3 linked regions of the Daphnia pulex genome follow. The protein of the gene in region 2 purifies or fractionates together with the protein of the main gene of each other region. This does not show direct contact. Links are inferred from orthologs where the notes say so. Each region holds a gene or a part of one and is shown on either strand. Other genes may lie near its edges.

The links.
Region 1: the proteins of zinc finger protein GLI2-like (region 2) and smoothened homolog purify together in Drosophila melanogaster (affinity purification with western blotting; 3 studies listed by BioGRID, with this or other methods). This does not show direct contact. The link is inferred for Daphnia pulex from reciprocal best matches to the Drosophila melanogaster genes ci and smo.
Region 3: the proteins of zinc finger protein GLI2-like (region 2) and F-box/WD repeat-containing protein 1A-like purify together in Drosophila melanogaster (affinity purification with western blotting; 4 studies listed by BioGRID, with this or other methods). This does not show direct contact. The link is inferred for Daphnia pulex from reciprocal best matches to the Drosophila melanogaster genes ci and slmb.

What each region holds. Positions count from the first base shown.
Region 1 is NC_060027.1:3,198,601-3,203,109, forward strand, and holds the end of smoothened homolog, read left to right. Parts: coding exon 1-139; intron 140-207; coding exon 208-380; intron 381-476; coding exon 477-595; intron 596-675; coding exon 676-776; intron 777-851; coding exon 852-1,174; intron 1,175-1,912; coding exon 1,913-2,101; intron 2,102-2,166; coding exon 2,167-3,429; intron 3,430-3,489; coding exon 3,490-3,844; 3' UTR 3,845-4,230; downstream 4,231-4,509. UniProt on the Drosophila melanogaster protein: Segment polarity protein required for correct patterning of every segment. G protein-coupled receptor which associates with the patched protein (ptc) to transduce the hedgehog (hh) signal through the activation of an inhibitory G-protein.
Region 2 is NC_060017.1:6,877,498-6,880,925, forward strand, and holds the end of zinc finger protein GLI2-like, read left to right. Parts: coding exon 1-296; intron 297-366; coding exon 367-2,010; 3' UTR 2,011-2,772; downstream 2,773-3,428. Other genes in the region: complex III assembly factor LYRM7-like, read right to left, coding at 2,825-2,880, 2,953-3,034, 3,098-3,168, 3,257-3,329, 3,423-3,428. UniProt on the Drosophila melanogaster protein: Has a dual function as a transcriptional activator and a repressor of the hedgehog (Hh) pathway. The full-length ci form (ciFL), acts as an activator (ciA) while ciR, its C-terminally truncated form, acts as a repressor. Involved in segment polarity.
Region 3 is NC_060024.1:7,565,569-7,569,827, reverse strand, and holds the start of F-box/WD repeat-containing protein 1A-like, read left to right. Parts: upstream 1-1,459; 5' UTR 1,460-1,878; coding exon 1,879-1,923; intron 1,924-2,143; coding exon 2,144-2,254; intron 2,255-2,316; coding exon 2,317-2,425; intron 2,426-2,488; coding exon 2,489-2,628; intron 2,629-2,691; coding exon 2,692-3,003; intron 3,004-3,063; coding exon 3,064-3,177; intron 3,178-3,231; coding exon 3,232-3,309; intron 3,310-3,373; coding exon 3,374-3,636; intron 3,637-3,702; coding exon 3,703-3,774; intron 3,775-3,849; coding exon 3,850-3,967; intron 3,968-4,034; coding exon 4,035-4,205; 3' UTR 4,206-4,259.

The sequences.
Region 1 (4,509 bases), on a different chromosome or scaffold from region 2:
TTTGGCTTATGTTGAAGGAGTTGACGGATGCGGACTGCCTTGCACTTCCCCGCTGTTTACAAAGGAGGAACATGAACAAGTCCAACGATTCACACAGACTCTGGTCGCCATGTGCCTCACCACCAATTTGTTTGCTGTGGTAAGATAATAAACACGTTTAGAATATGGAGATAAATGAATCAATAATCAATCGATTGCTATGTGAAGTTTACGTTCATGATTGACTGGCGCTCCGCTTCACGCTACCCGGCCGTTATTATTTTTTACATGAACGTATGCTTCGCTGCCGCTTGTATCGGTTGGATTGCTCAATATATTCCCAGTGCTAGACAGGATATCATATGCCGGAAAGATGGAACAGCTCGTGTATCAGAACCAAGGTATGATGCCAACTCAGCTTAAGCCGCATTTCAATGTCTGTAGCAATTTTGGTTTTATGCTTTCACGATTTCGTTTGATTTATTTTTTTATTTTAGTGGCGGAGAAACGCTGTCTTGTGTTGTTATATTCATCTTAATCTATTATTTTCTCATGGCTGCTTGTGTTTGGTTTGTCATGCTAGCCTATTCGTGGTTCGTCAGCTTCCAAGCCCTGGGTAGAATTTTAAATTTTTTTTAACTGCCACCCCAAAAAGAATGAAGACAAAACTGAATGTCATCATTGAAATCTCTCTAGGTAAAATCCGTGAGAAAGTCAGCTCCAAAGCTGCTTACTTTCACTTGGTCTCCTGGTCAATCCCTCTGGTCCTTACAATTACATGCATGGCGCTAGCACAGGTTGAGTTTTATTTTAAACAAGGAATTTATGTGTGAACGTATTTGTTGATTTATATTTATTTATTTCCAACGCAGGTCGAAGCACAAAGTCCTCATGGAATTTGTTTCGTGGCCAACAGCAAAGTGGTGCGGTCTGGTTTCGTTCTGGCCCCTGTAATGATCTTGCTTTTCATTGGCCATGTGTTTCTCTACCGCGGTTTGCTTATTTTGATTCGTCTCAAACTGGGCAGCGCTGCCTCAATCTCCGCTTCCGCCAATTCCAAGTTACGCAACACCATCGTTCGACTCGTCTCGTTCTCAGCCTCTATTATCTGTGCTATCGGTTTGTCCATTTTCTGCCATGTTTACGAATTCGATAGACGAACTCAGTGGAAAACTTCCTTCCGCTCCTACATGGTGTAAGTAATTTTTAAAAAATTGTATCTAAGGATCTCCGCTTAAATCATAATACTTTTACTTGTAGTTAAATTAGCTAAGCTTTTCACGTTCCTTATCACTCTTATTTTCATGGGGTATTAATACTGGTTTTTATCATGGCGTCTATATGAGTACGGAATTTAAACTTGCTTTAGGTAGTCCTGGCTATCGCACCCAATTTCAACATGGCCTTGTAGTCTATTTATCCCCATAAAACTAGTGCGCAGCCGCTTTTCTATCCAATAAATTAATAATTCATTTTCAGATGGCACGTTTCTGTGCCACGTGCAGAAATTCGCCAACAACGCTAATAAGAGTTTCCTTCTAAATCCAGATCATTAACTGAAATTGAATTTTCTCTGCCAATCTTTCCTTATAAAAATTCAATTAATTATGAAACCAAACTATTTTTATCCAGACTTTTTTCAATTTGTACTACTACAAAAAAAATAATTATCTTTTCCTTCCCACGAAACGCTTTCATCCCCCCCCCCCCAAACTAATTAGTTCCAGCATATAAATGTCGTTTTATGTGTAGGAGGCTTGTTACCTCGAAACGTTTATAAGCCCCATAATTTCAAAATAGGTATTTTACGCCCCCGTTTTGAAGTAATCAAGTTGAATAATTTACCATTTCCCCTCAAACTTAAAAACAATAATTTTTTAACTAAAAGAAAAATTCATTGTGTTTTTTTCAACGTTCGTATTTGACATTGCAGATGCCTGGCCAATCAAAACACCTCTCGCATTCAGAATCAAGGCCTTGCCGATGACTGTGAATTGGAATCTCGACCGAGCATGACCATCACCCAAGTTCATTTGATTGCCGTCTTTGGAGCTGGTGTAGCCGTATCTTCGTGGGTCTGGACAAAGGCTTCCGTCCTGGCTTGGCGGAGGTGGTACCGAAGGTATACACACTTCTTGTTTACTCCCTGTCGGCTTGTTTGCATGTAAACATCGTTTTTATTTCCAGGACCTTCAACAAGAGACCGTTGGATGAACGCGTTCGCATTCGCAAACATAAAATCATTGCTCAGGCGTTTGCCAAGCGAAGAGATCTGAATCACATGGGCCGGATGTCTATCAGTATCCACAGTACGCACGACGATCCAGTCGGTTTTGGCAACCTTGATCTGAATAGCGCCGCTTCCAATGACGTCAGTTCTGCATGGGCTGCCGCCATTCCCAAATTCGTCACACGCCGTGGCGCTATCGTCGGCGCGGCTGGAGCCTTTGGACTGCGGCGCAATTCGCTGGATTCCGAAATAAGCATGAGCGCCGTCCGGCGTATTTCGGTCGAATCGAGAGCCAGTCAGTCTCGCCGTCACTCATTCGATTCACAATACTCGGTACATTCTCAACAAACGACGGATTTGGAGCGGCTCACTAGACTACACTTCCGCCATGGAGGTCGTAAACGTAATAATTTGCTCCGGGGCGGAAGAAAAATGGCGCTGAGACGCAGGGGAAGTATTACGTCTCAAGCTAGTTCGAAAGGGTCGCAAATATTGCCAGCCATTACTAAACTTGCGCTGAGAAATCGCCGAGGAAGTATCACTTCACTGGCCAGTTCTAAAGGCTCGCAAATCTTGCCGGCCATTACCAAACGTAGAAACCAATTACTTCCTCTTGGATCAGCTGGAGCGAGCACTGTTGTCCAGGTTCAACCCAATGACAAGCGGCAATCATCGCAAGTCGATCTGGAACGAATTGAGCGCTTCTCGCTCAACCTGCCGGGCGACGGAAGTAGCGACGAAAGTGACATCGATAATGGAGAATCATGCAAAGTTACTACGGTCCCTGTCACCCAGTCGACTCAAACTGCCGTGACGTGGAACGTGGCCACACAGACGTCGCCCAGTTTATCGACGCTTCGACCTATTTCTACCAAGAGTGCTAAAACAACAACGCAGTCTGTGTCTAAAGGCACACAGGTGACTTCATCTTCTTCTTCATCGTCACCATCATCCTCGGCATCCACTTCACCGGAAGCCGTCCGTAAATCGCTGCCGAAACCGTCGACATCGGCCCCAACGAACATCTCGAGCTCAAAGTGCCACAGAGAACGAGGTCAAGCCGATGGGTCACCCAATGGAAGCTCATCAGACGTATCGGATCACATATCAGCCAGCGGGCCTGGCCTAAGTTCGCCTTCGCAATCATTGCTCGATTATTTGCTGCCCATCAAATCGGAGAAGAAATCTGATGATCGACAACTCAACGGTTCCAAGAGCAGGTAAATATTTAGCACATTTGCATTCGTTTGCAAAATTGGCGTTGACATTTAAATTTTCAGTGGCAGGTCCAATAGGAACAGAAGCGCCCGCTCTCGCGGGGTCGAAGCAATTGAGTTGGACCGTTCGTCTATCGCCCGCCTTCTTGAAAAACTACGAGAGGAGGACCACAAAGCGGCGGTTGAAGCTGCCAATGCCGTTATCGATTCAGACGAACGTCCTAAACGCTCCTACGACAGGCGTCATCGCGTTGAGCGTAATCGTCGCTCACAATCTGAACGCCACGACGGCAATGAAATTGAATTAGATTGCTTGCTGAGCTCCAAGAATTCGAATCGCTCTGATCGATCCAGAAAATCCGGCAGTCGACGCTCCCGTTCCAAGCAAGAAACAATTGTCAATGACGATGTATCATAATGATCAAATCTTTTCTTAACTCCCTTTTCGGTCTTGACGATTCAACTTTATTTCCTTTTTCCTCTCCCGTATTCCGACATTTTATTTTATTCTTTCCCCATATACCTGAACGTGACAATCGTTGTTACCAACGACCTCCGTTTATTTTTAAAAGTTATGTGACTCAACTTTCTATGTAACTTTTTTTTATCTAAATCCAACAGAGGACGAATCTCATATGCAGCTAAAAATCAATCAATCAGGTAATGTGAGTCCCTTTGTTGCCTTTCAAACTCTGACTTTGGAATTCCATGCATTCTTCCACTTATAGATGGTTTTAACTTTATCGAACCGGATCTCTTCTTGGCAAATAGTGTCAATAAAAAAAAATGTAAGTGCCATTTGAATTGAACTTTGTCGAAACTACTTTTAGAATATCCCAGTGTAACCCAGTAACTTGAAATAGGAACACAATTCGAGCTGCCGATTTTTTCACGGCATAATCAAATGTGCGCGTTCAGCTGAGCTTTTTTAAATCATTCGATTTATACCACGGCTGAGTTGCTGCTAGCTGGAAGCGGAAATGGTGCATCCGCTCCTTTTGGCTACGACAATTTCATTTAGGTATATACTTTTTTTTTCCACGTGTCAAGTTAACGTGCTCTACTACAAGTACGTTGCCTTTG
Region 2 (3,428 bases):
GAGAGATGCGACGGGCGTCGGATCCAGTCCGGCCGATGGCTGCTCAAACGGCGGTTCCTCTTCCGCCACTCAACTCCGCACTGCAGAGACACCACAGCGTCAACAACGTACAACAGCAGCCGATGATGCTCCGTACAGCTACCGCCACAGGGACTAACAATCCGGCCGCCCGCGGTGTCAACGGGTATCCTCCCAACCACCCCAACAGCGGAATCGTCTTGGAAGAAGTCGGTGAGGGTCACATGGTCGAAGAGAAGCTTGTCGTTCCTGACGAAATGCTCCAGTATCTCAATCAGGTAAGAATTGAACGACTAATTAATCGATTAAAATTGTTCTCTAACGGATTTGAATTTTGTTTTTAAAAAGGTGAGCGTCAATCAAGATGGAAGAATGGCCTCTCCACGATCCTACTTTATGGGTCGAAGCCCTCGACCGGATTCGGCTCCGCACAACCAGTTCAGGGCGATGCAACAACAACACCAACAGCAACAGTTCCACCAATTTCAGCAGCAACAACAGCAGCAACAACAGCAGCAACAACAACAACAACAGCAAATGACTAATCAGTACAATCCAGCGACAATGATGGGCAGTCACAATTATCCAGGTCACCATCAGCCCAACAATACCATGGTTGGCTACAACAACGGAGCCGTCATGCACATTAGTCCGACGCCTTCCGCTCGCAATCAACTGGGAATGCAAGCCAGTCCGGCATTGGCGGCCACAGCTCCTCAGCACTTCAATGGGCCGGCCGTTTGCCATCAAGCTCAAGTTGGCCAGCCTCAAGGCCAACAGCAACAAGCTCCTGCGATGTACGGCACCTGCCCAGCTCAACAACAATCACCTGTCGTCGCCAGCGGTGTGGTGGCAGCCCAGCAAGGGCAACAACAACCAAATATGGTCGGATGTAACGTCATGCAGCCGTCAAACTACTCGCAGGCTGGAGCCAACTACGGGCCAGCCCACGCGGCCGGCGTCAATGCCATGCCTTACAACAACTACAACAACCAACAACCTGCCATGGCGATGAATAATGGCTACATGATGAATCAACAATGCGGTCATATGCAAGCCGCCCAACAACAAGCCAATCCGGTTGCCCAGGGATTCAACAATCCTTGCTCTCCGTGCACCGGCCATCATCACCAACAGCCCCAGCCCGTCTGCAACAACAATCCGGGAAACAACCAAAATTGGCAATGCGGATATCCCACCCCCAACAACATGACGCAACAACAACAGCAACACCATCAGGCGATGCCGTTCCCCCAGCAGCAACAACACAATAATGTTGCGTGGCAGAACAACGCCATGCAAGGTCCAGGAAACGGAGCGTCCAACGTCCAGGTTCCGCCGACCAATGCTCAGTCTTTGATGTACAACAACATGCAGAGCAACGCTGCGATGGCCTACAACAACTATCCTCGTCCGCCACCTTACAGCCAAGTGGCATCCGCCATTCAATGCCAAGATGTGAGCCAGTCTCAAGATTTCATCAACCGAGCTCGCGTTCAAGGAGCTGCCCAGCAGCAGGGGCCATCAGCTACCCCGGTCCAGCAGCAGCACAGCCAGCAGATTAACAACGCGGCCACAGCCGTTCCGTCTGTGGCTACCGGTGTCACAACGCCGAGTAATATGCGTCCTGAGACGTACCAGCGCACATTGGAATATGTCCAGCAGTGCCAATCTTGGTCATCGACAGGAGACGGCAACAATGGCGGACGAGCGGCTAAGGAGAACAAACCACCCCAGCAGCAACAACAACAACAACCTGGGGCTTGCGAGCCTCAAATGACCAAGACGGCCGAGACGGCCGCTGTCGGACGGGCCTTGCTTTCCCCTGGCCAGGACGCCGTTTCCAGCTCAACGGATCGACAGGAAGCGGCGGCGGCGGCGGCTGCTGCAGCTCTGTTGCCTTCCTCGGCCAACAACATGGTTGTTAACGACATGAACACTTCACTCAATTCGCTGATGCAGGAGAACCGTTTCTTGCAAATGATTCAGTAGTATAGCAACTGTTGCGTACTCTGCTTCTTCTTCTTTCTCGTTGAGTGAGTTCTAGTGCAATAAGCTGGGCAAACCGCACGCCAATCAGAGCCGACAAATTCGTCTCTTTTGGCTGGGCTCCGATGGAACAAGACTGCGTGTGAAGATCTCGCCTCAATTACTCTTTGTTTTTGTTTTTTTAATTATTATTTCTTATTTGTTCAGTGCTGCCTACGTGTCTTAATAATAATTTGAATATTCTTGTACATTAAATTGTGTTCCGTGGAGACTCAATGACGTGCGCCGAGTGCCAAAAGGGGAAGAAAAAACAATTTTGGCCGTTATTTCGTATATACTGTGTGTGTGTGTGGTTTGTGTCTCTGCCTTACTTTTGCAGCTGTTACTTCCCCCTTTTTTGGGTTTGGGAGGTGTTTTTGTGGGAGGGGAGATGTGTATATGTGTGCCTTTGCGTGTCCTTGTTTCTCGTGCCTGTTCGAATAATATTTGTTGTGATACTGCCTTTTTCGAATTAGTTTGTTTGCTCCATCAATCATATCTCCGGTGCCTTGACAGCTTAATGATTTTGCTGCAGTGCCATATCGGAGCGCCTTGGTACCATGACAGTTGTATAATGATGTGAACATCATCATATATATATATTCTCTTGAACAGCAAGATTTTTTGCATGTGGACTGGCCCAAATGGCAGCCTATGAATTGTGCTTTGTGGTACTTGAAAACTGTACTTACATGTTCAATAAAATAAACTGTATGTCTGTTGAAATGTTACAGTCTCTCTATTTTTCACAATCATATACACTAACATACATTCTAAATCATCCCCTATATGGCGTGTTGTTGTGCATAAAGGTGTCCTTTGTTATATGGAGTCCTGCCACACATAAAGAATAATAAAAGGCAATTAGATAAAGAATGAAGATCACAATCTCAAGGTATAAATTACTGAAAGTGTTTTCTTCGGTGGGGGTGACCTGCACAACACTTGTCCGTAGAATTTCCTCTGCTTGGTTTCCAAGCTTGATTAACTGCCAAAAAAATAACAGGGTATCACTTGGAATGTCGGCACGAAACGAGAATGATCAACTTACTTCTGCTATTGCTTCTTGACTTGATATTCTCTGATATTTTCGGAATTCAGAATTGATTTTCAGGCGAGCGGCTATAATGTAAATAATTAAAATTCATCAATTAACCTGATATATGACTACATTTCTTATTATTTGTCATATTTCGAAAGAAATTCCTACCATCCATGGCGACTTGATCATTGGTAAACACTTTGGTACGAGTTCGATGTAGACACCGAAAACATTTTAGAACCTATACGAGGCACAAAATAAAGGAAACCAATAAATAAGTTGGAAATCAATAAATACAAGGACAAAAATAACATCTGAAAGTTTCTTTATTTACCTCTGC
Region 3 (4,259 bases), on a different chromosome or scaffold from region 2:
AAATGAAGACAAAATTGCGCATTAAGTAAACTGGAATCCCCCCCCCCCCCTCTCCCGAAAGCACGGTCTTGTGGAATTTGGATAAGGAAACAGAAAGATAGAATTTGCCTCTGGAAAAGTAAAAACTTGAACCTCTTGGCTCTTGCATTGTTGCATATGGAGTGCGGTGATTGCACGATGCAGTGATGTCTAGCTGGCTATCTGCCTACAATTGTTTCCAATTTAGAACGACAGATGGCCAAGCTTGAAAAAATTTAACATTTTCTTTTATTTGCATCATTTTCATCGGAATTCTTACCTGCAAGCGCATCATCAAGGTTACCTAAAACCACTTCCGCCTTGAGTTTAGTCATATCTCTTTCACCCAACTGAATTACTGAAGGATGTTAACATACGATTACACCATAACCCATAAGGATATATAATAAGAACCCAATCTGGATGCTTGATGCTACAGCAAGAAAGGATAATGTCGCAACCACTGTTGATGACTCGATGGTGCCGTAAAATTGTGATTGCGAAATATTTTACTTTTAGTTTGCGCAAATATACTTTTCCTGCTTTAGATACTTGTTGACTTAACAGCAATAAAATGAGTGAATCGCTTTCTTATATGATGCGCTTAGAGTAAAGAATTGGAAATTTTCTTCGTGTTGATAAGAAGAGAGAAAACTTTATTTTAGCACAGGTTATTCAAGCGGGACAAACTTTCTACGAGCTTTCACTCTCGAGTCTCGACCTTCTGCCGGTGAAGCGAGTCTCGTCTCGCTTTCTTTTTACCACGTTTTAAATGCAGGAACGCTTCGACTAGCGACCTACAAATCTCATTATTTGGCTATGGCCAATATTCAACTTGGTCAATGATGCCAGTGTTTGGTTCTAGCCTTATTTTATTTATTTTATAATTGACAAAAGAGAACTGGATAACTCCTCTCTTCGCAGAAGTGCGCCATTTGTTCAACCGGTACGTTTTCCAGGTTATGAAATCGTGAAATCCGATCGTGTTCTACTATATACCACAATAATCATGCGATCGGACGAAGCCTGTTGATCGAGCACAAACTTGATGACTGCTAGCTAGGGTACGGCTGAATTGCTTCGACATCAAATAAAGTGAAAACGGCAGACCTGACTTGTTAGCTTCTCAATTTGGGAAATTTGAAAAATAAACCATTTTGTTAAGATAAATGTATTGTGAAATAGTTGTACATGAATTCATCGAATTTTATAAAAAAATGTTGAATTAAAGTATTACATTCTTTCAAACTTATTTCGTTTTCTAGGATTCATTGATGGTTGATTACTTTAACCATTGGCATCTTCTATAAGTTAGTGTAAAGAAATTTTCATTAAGAAAAGTTCTAATAGTTAATTGCCAAAAAATGAACATTAATGCTACTTTTTACTAATTCGGCAGTAAATCTCATTTGTCTCATTCTCACCGACTTCTCGGAATCTCGGTTCCTTTATCGACAACTCGACATAAAGGAAATTGTGCAATGTTGTGCACTGCAAGTCATCACAAAAGAGAAATTAGCGCACATCTTCTATTGTTGGAAATACAGTTAGCGCCACAGTGTTCAAATCGCCAAGCTTAGTGCTCACAACATAGTGACTCCAAGTCTCAGGTCCAACCAGTCGCAGGTTTTAGGGGGTTTAGACTCTAGACTGTTAGGTAACCCCGCCCCTTGGCTGCATTAAACAAGAAAAGTTCGAAACATGGACACCGTAGTCCGGAGCGCTAGCTGCGTTACATTTATGTCAGTTTGCCAGTCTCGAACGAACCTAGTGTAGAGGAAGTGGGGTTGGGGAAGAGAAAGACTTTTGTAGTATTTGGTATTGTCAATTTGCTGTGAAATAAGTGAGGAAGGAAGTGAAATGGAAGCTGAAAACATCGTGGAAGATGTTCCACCAGCGATTGGGGTAAAATCGTGCTCGCTAAATTCGTTCTTTAAGTTGAAGAAAAGCCTTGAATAAATCCAGAAGAAGAGACAGTGCTACTGGGAATGGCAGCCATGTTGGAGGCCTAATTTCAATATTTCCTTGTCAACTTCCGAGATTTGTCCTTGGTTCTTCTTTGCTCGTCGTTAGTGTTGTTATGCATATTTCTCAATAGCTGAAGTGTTTTGTGCATTCATTCTAGGCAAATACGATGCTCAGCCTTGTACGAAGCCGTTCCGAACTATCGTCCAATTACCTAGTTGAAAAGGAACCTTGTCTCAAGTGCTTTGATTCTTGGCCAGAATCTGATCAGGTGTGAAGACTATTTTTATTCTAGTTTATAATCATGTTCCTTTAACAATAATTGTTTCCCAGGTGGAATTCGTGGAGCAGTTATTGCAGCGAATGTGTCACTACCAACACGGCCACATTAACTCGTTTTTGCAACCAATGCTTCAACGAGATTTTATATCATTCTTGCCCAGTAATTCATGGAAAACAAAATTTGAAATAGTACAAATTAAACTAATTTTTATTTGAAATTTAGAAAAAGGTTTAGACCATATAGCAGAAAATATTTTAAGTTACCTGGATGATAGTAGTCTTAGAAATGCTGAACTAGTCTGCAAAGAATGGAGACGTGTGATTGCAGATGGAATGTTATGGAAAAAACTCATTGAAAGAAAAGTATATCTTTAAAATTATGAGTATAAGTTTGAAAACAAAATTTTAAAAATCTCTTTATAACAGGTACGAACAGATTCTCTATGGAGAGGCTTGAGTGAACGACGAGGATGGGGAGCCTATCTTTTCAAACCCCGTCCTGGTGAACAACAGCCAGATCATTCCTTTTACAGAAAGTTATATCCACGCATCCTTAAGGACATTGAACAAATTGAAAACAACTGGCGGTGTGGAAGACATACACTGCAACGGATAAACTGTAGATCAGAAAATTCGAAGGGTGTTTACTGCCTCCAGTATGATGACCGACGAATTGTCTCTGGGTTGAGAGATAATACCATAAAGATTTGGGATCGACAAACTCTCCAATGTGCAAAAGTTGGTTTTCATTAGTTTGCGAGATTTAATTACTTGTTTATTTATTGATTTACCTTGAAGGTTCTTACTGGACATACGGGATCCGTACTTTGTTTACAGTACGATGAGCGCGTGATAATTAGCGGATCGTCTGATTCAACTGTCAGAGTGTGGGATCTCAACAACGGGGAAATGGTACGTTAATTAAATCATTTTATAAAAAGCATTATTAATATTACCCATTTTAAGGTCAACACACTCATTCACCACTGTGAAGCCGTCCTTCATTTACGGTTTGCTCATGGACTCATGGTTACGTGTTCCAAGGTAACTTTAAAAGCTTGTAAAAATAGCATTTGTAAATATTTATGTGGCCTTTTAAATCTTTCAGGACCGAAGTATTGCTGTGTGGGATATGGTGAGTCCCACTGAAATTAACCTCCGTCGTGTGCTTGTTGGTCATCGTGCAGCTGTGAACGTTGTTGACTTTGATGACAAGTACATTGTCTCTGCCTCGGGTGATCGAACCATCAAGGTGTGGTCTACAGCAACCTGTGAGTTTGTTCGGACATTAAACGGACACAAGCGTGGCATTGCCTGCTTGCAATACAGGGACAGATTAGTCGTCTCTGGATCATCCGATAATTCTATTAGGTAAATGCCTTCAGCTTAACAATTTCTTGTAGATCTCATTTTCATTTTGTTGTAATGATCTTGCAGGTTGTGGGATATTGAATGTGGCGCTTGCATACGCGTACTGGAAGGTCACGAAGAATTAGTTAGATGTATCAGGTAAAGCATGAGTAACGATTCCCAAAATGATTATTACCATTTTTATTTATTGTCGGATGATTTTAAATGATTCAGGTTCGATTCCAAACGCATCGTAAGTGGAGCCTACGATGGAAAAATCAAAGTTTGGGATTTACAAGCGGCGCTAGACCCCAGAGCACCAGCTGGGACCCTTTGCCTTCGAACCCTCGTGGTATTATTCACTTTTAACATCTTGGTTAAAAATAATCCCTTAACTATTTTACACACGAACATTTTAGGAACATACCGGTCGAGTTTTTCGACTGCAGTTTGATGAGTTCCAGATCGTAAGCTCTTCTCATGACGACACGATCCTCATTTGGGACTTTCTTCACACAGATTCGCCTTCTAGTTTAACGCCATCATCACGTACCTCACCCCAGCGCACTTACACTTACGTGTCGATGTAAAAGCCCCTCTAGGTCGTGGAAAAGAGATACAGGCATCTAACTGAAGGGGTTAGC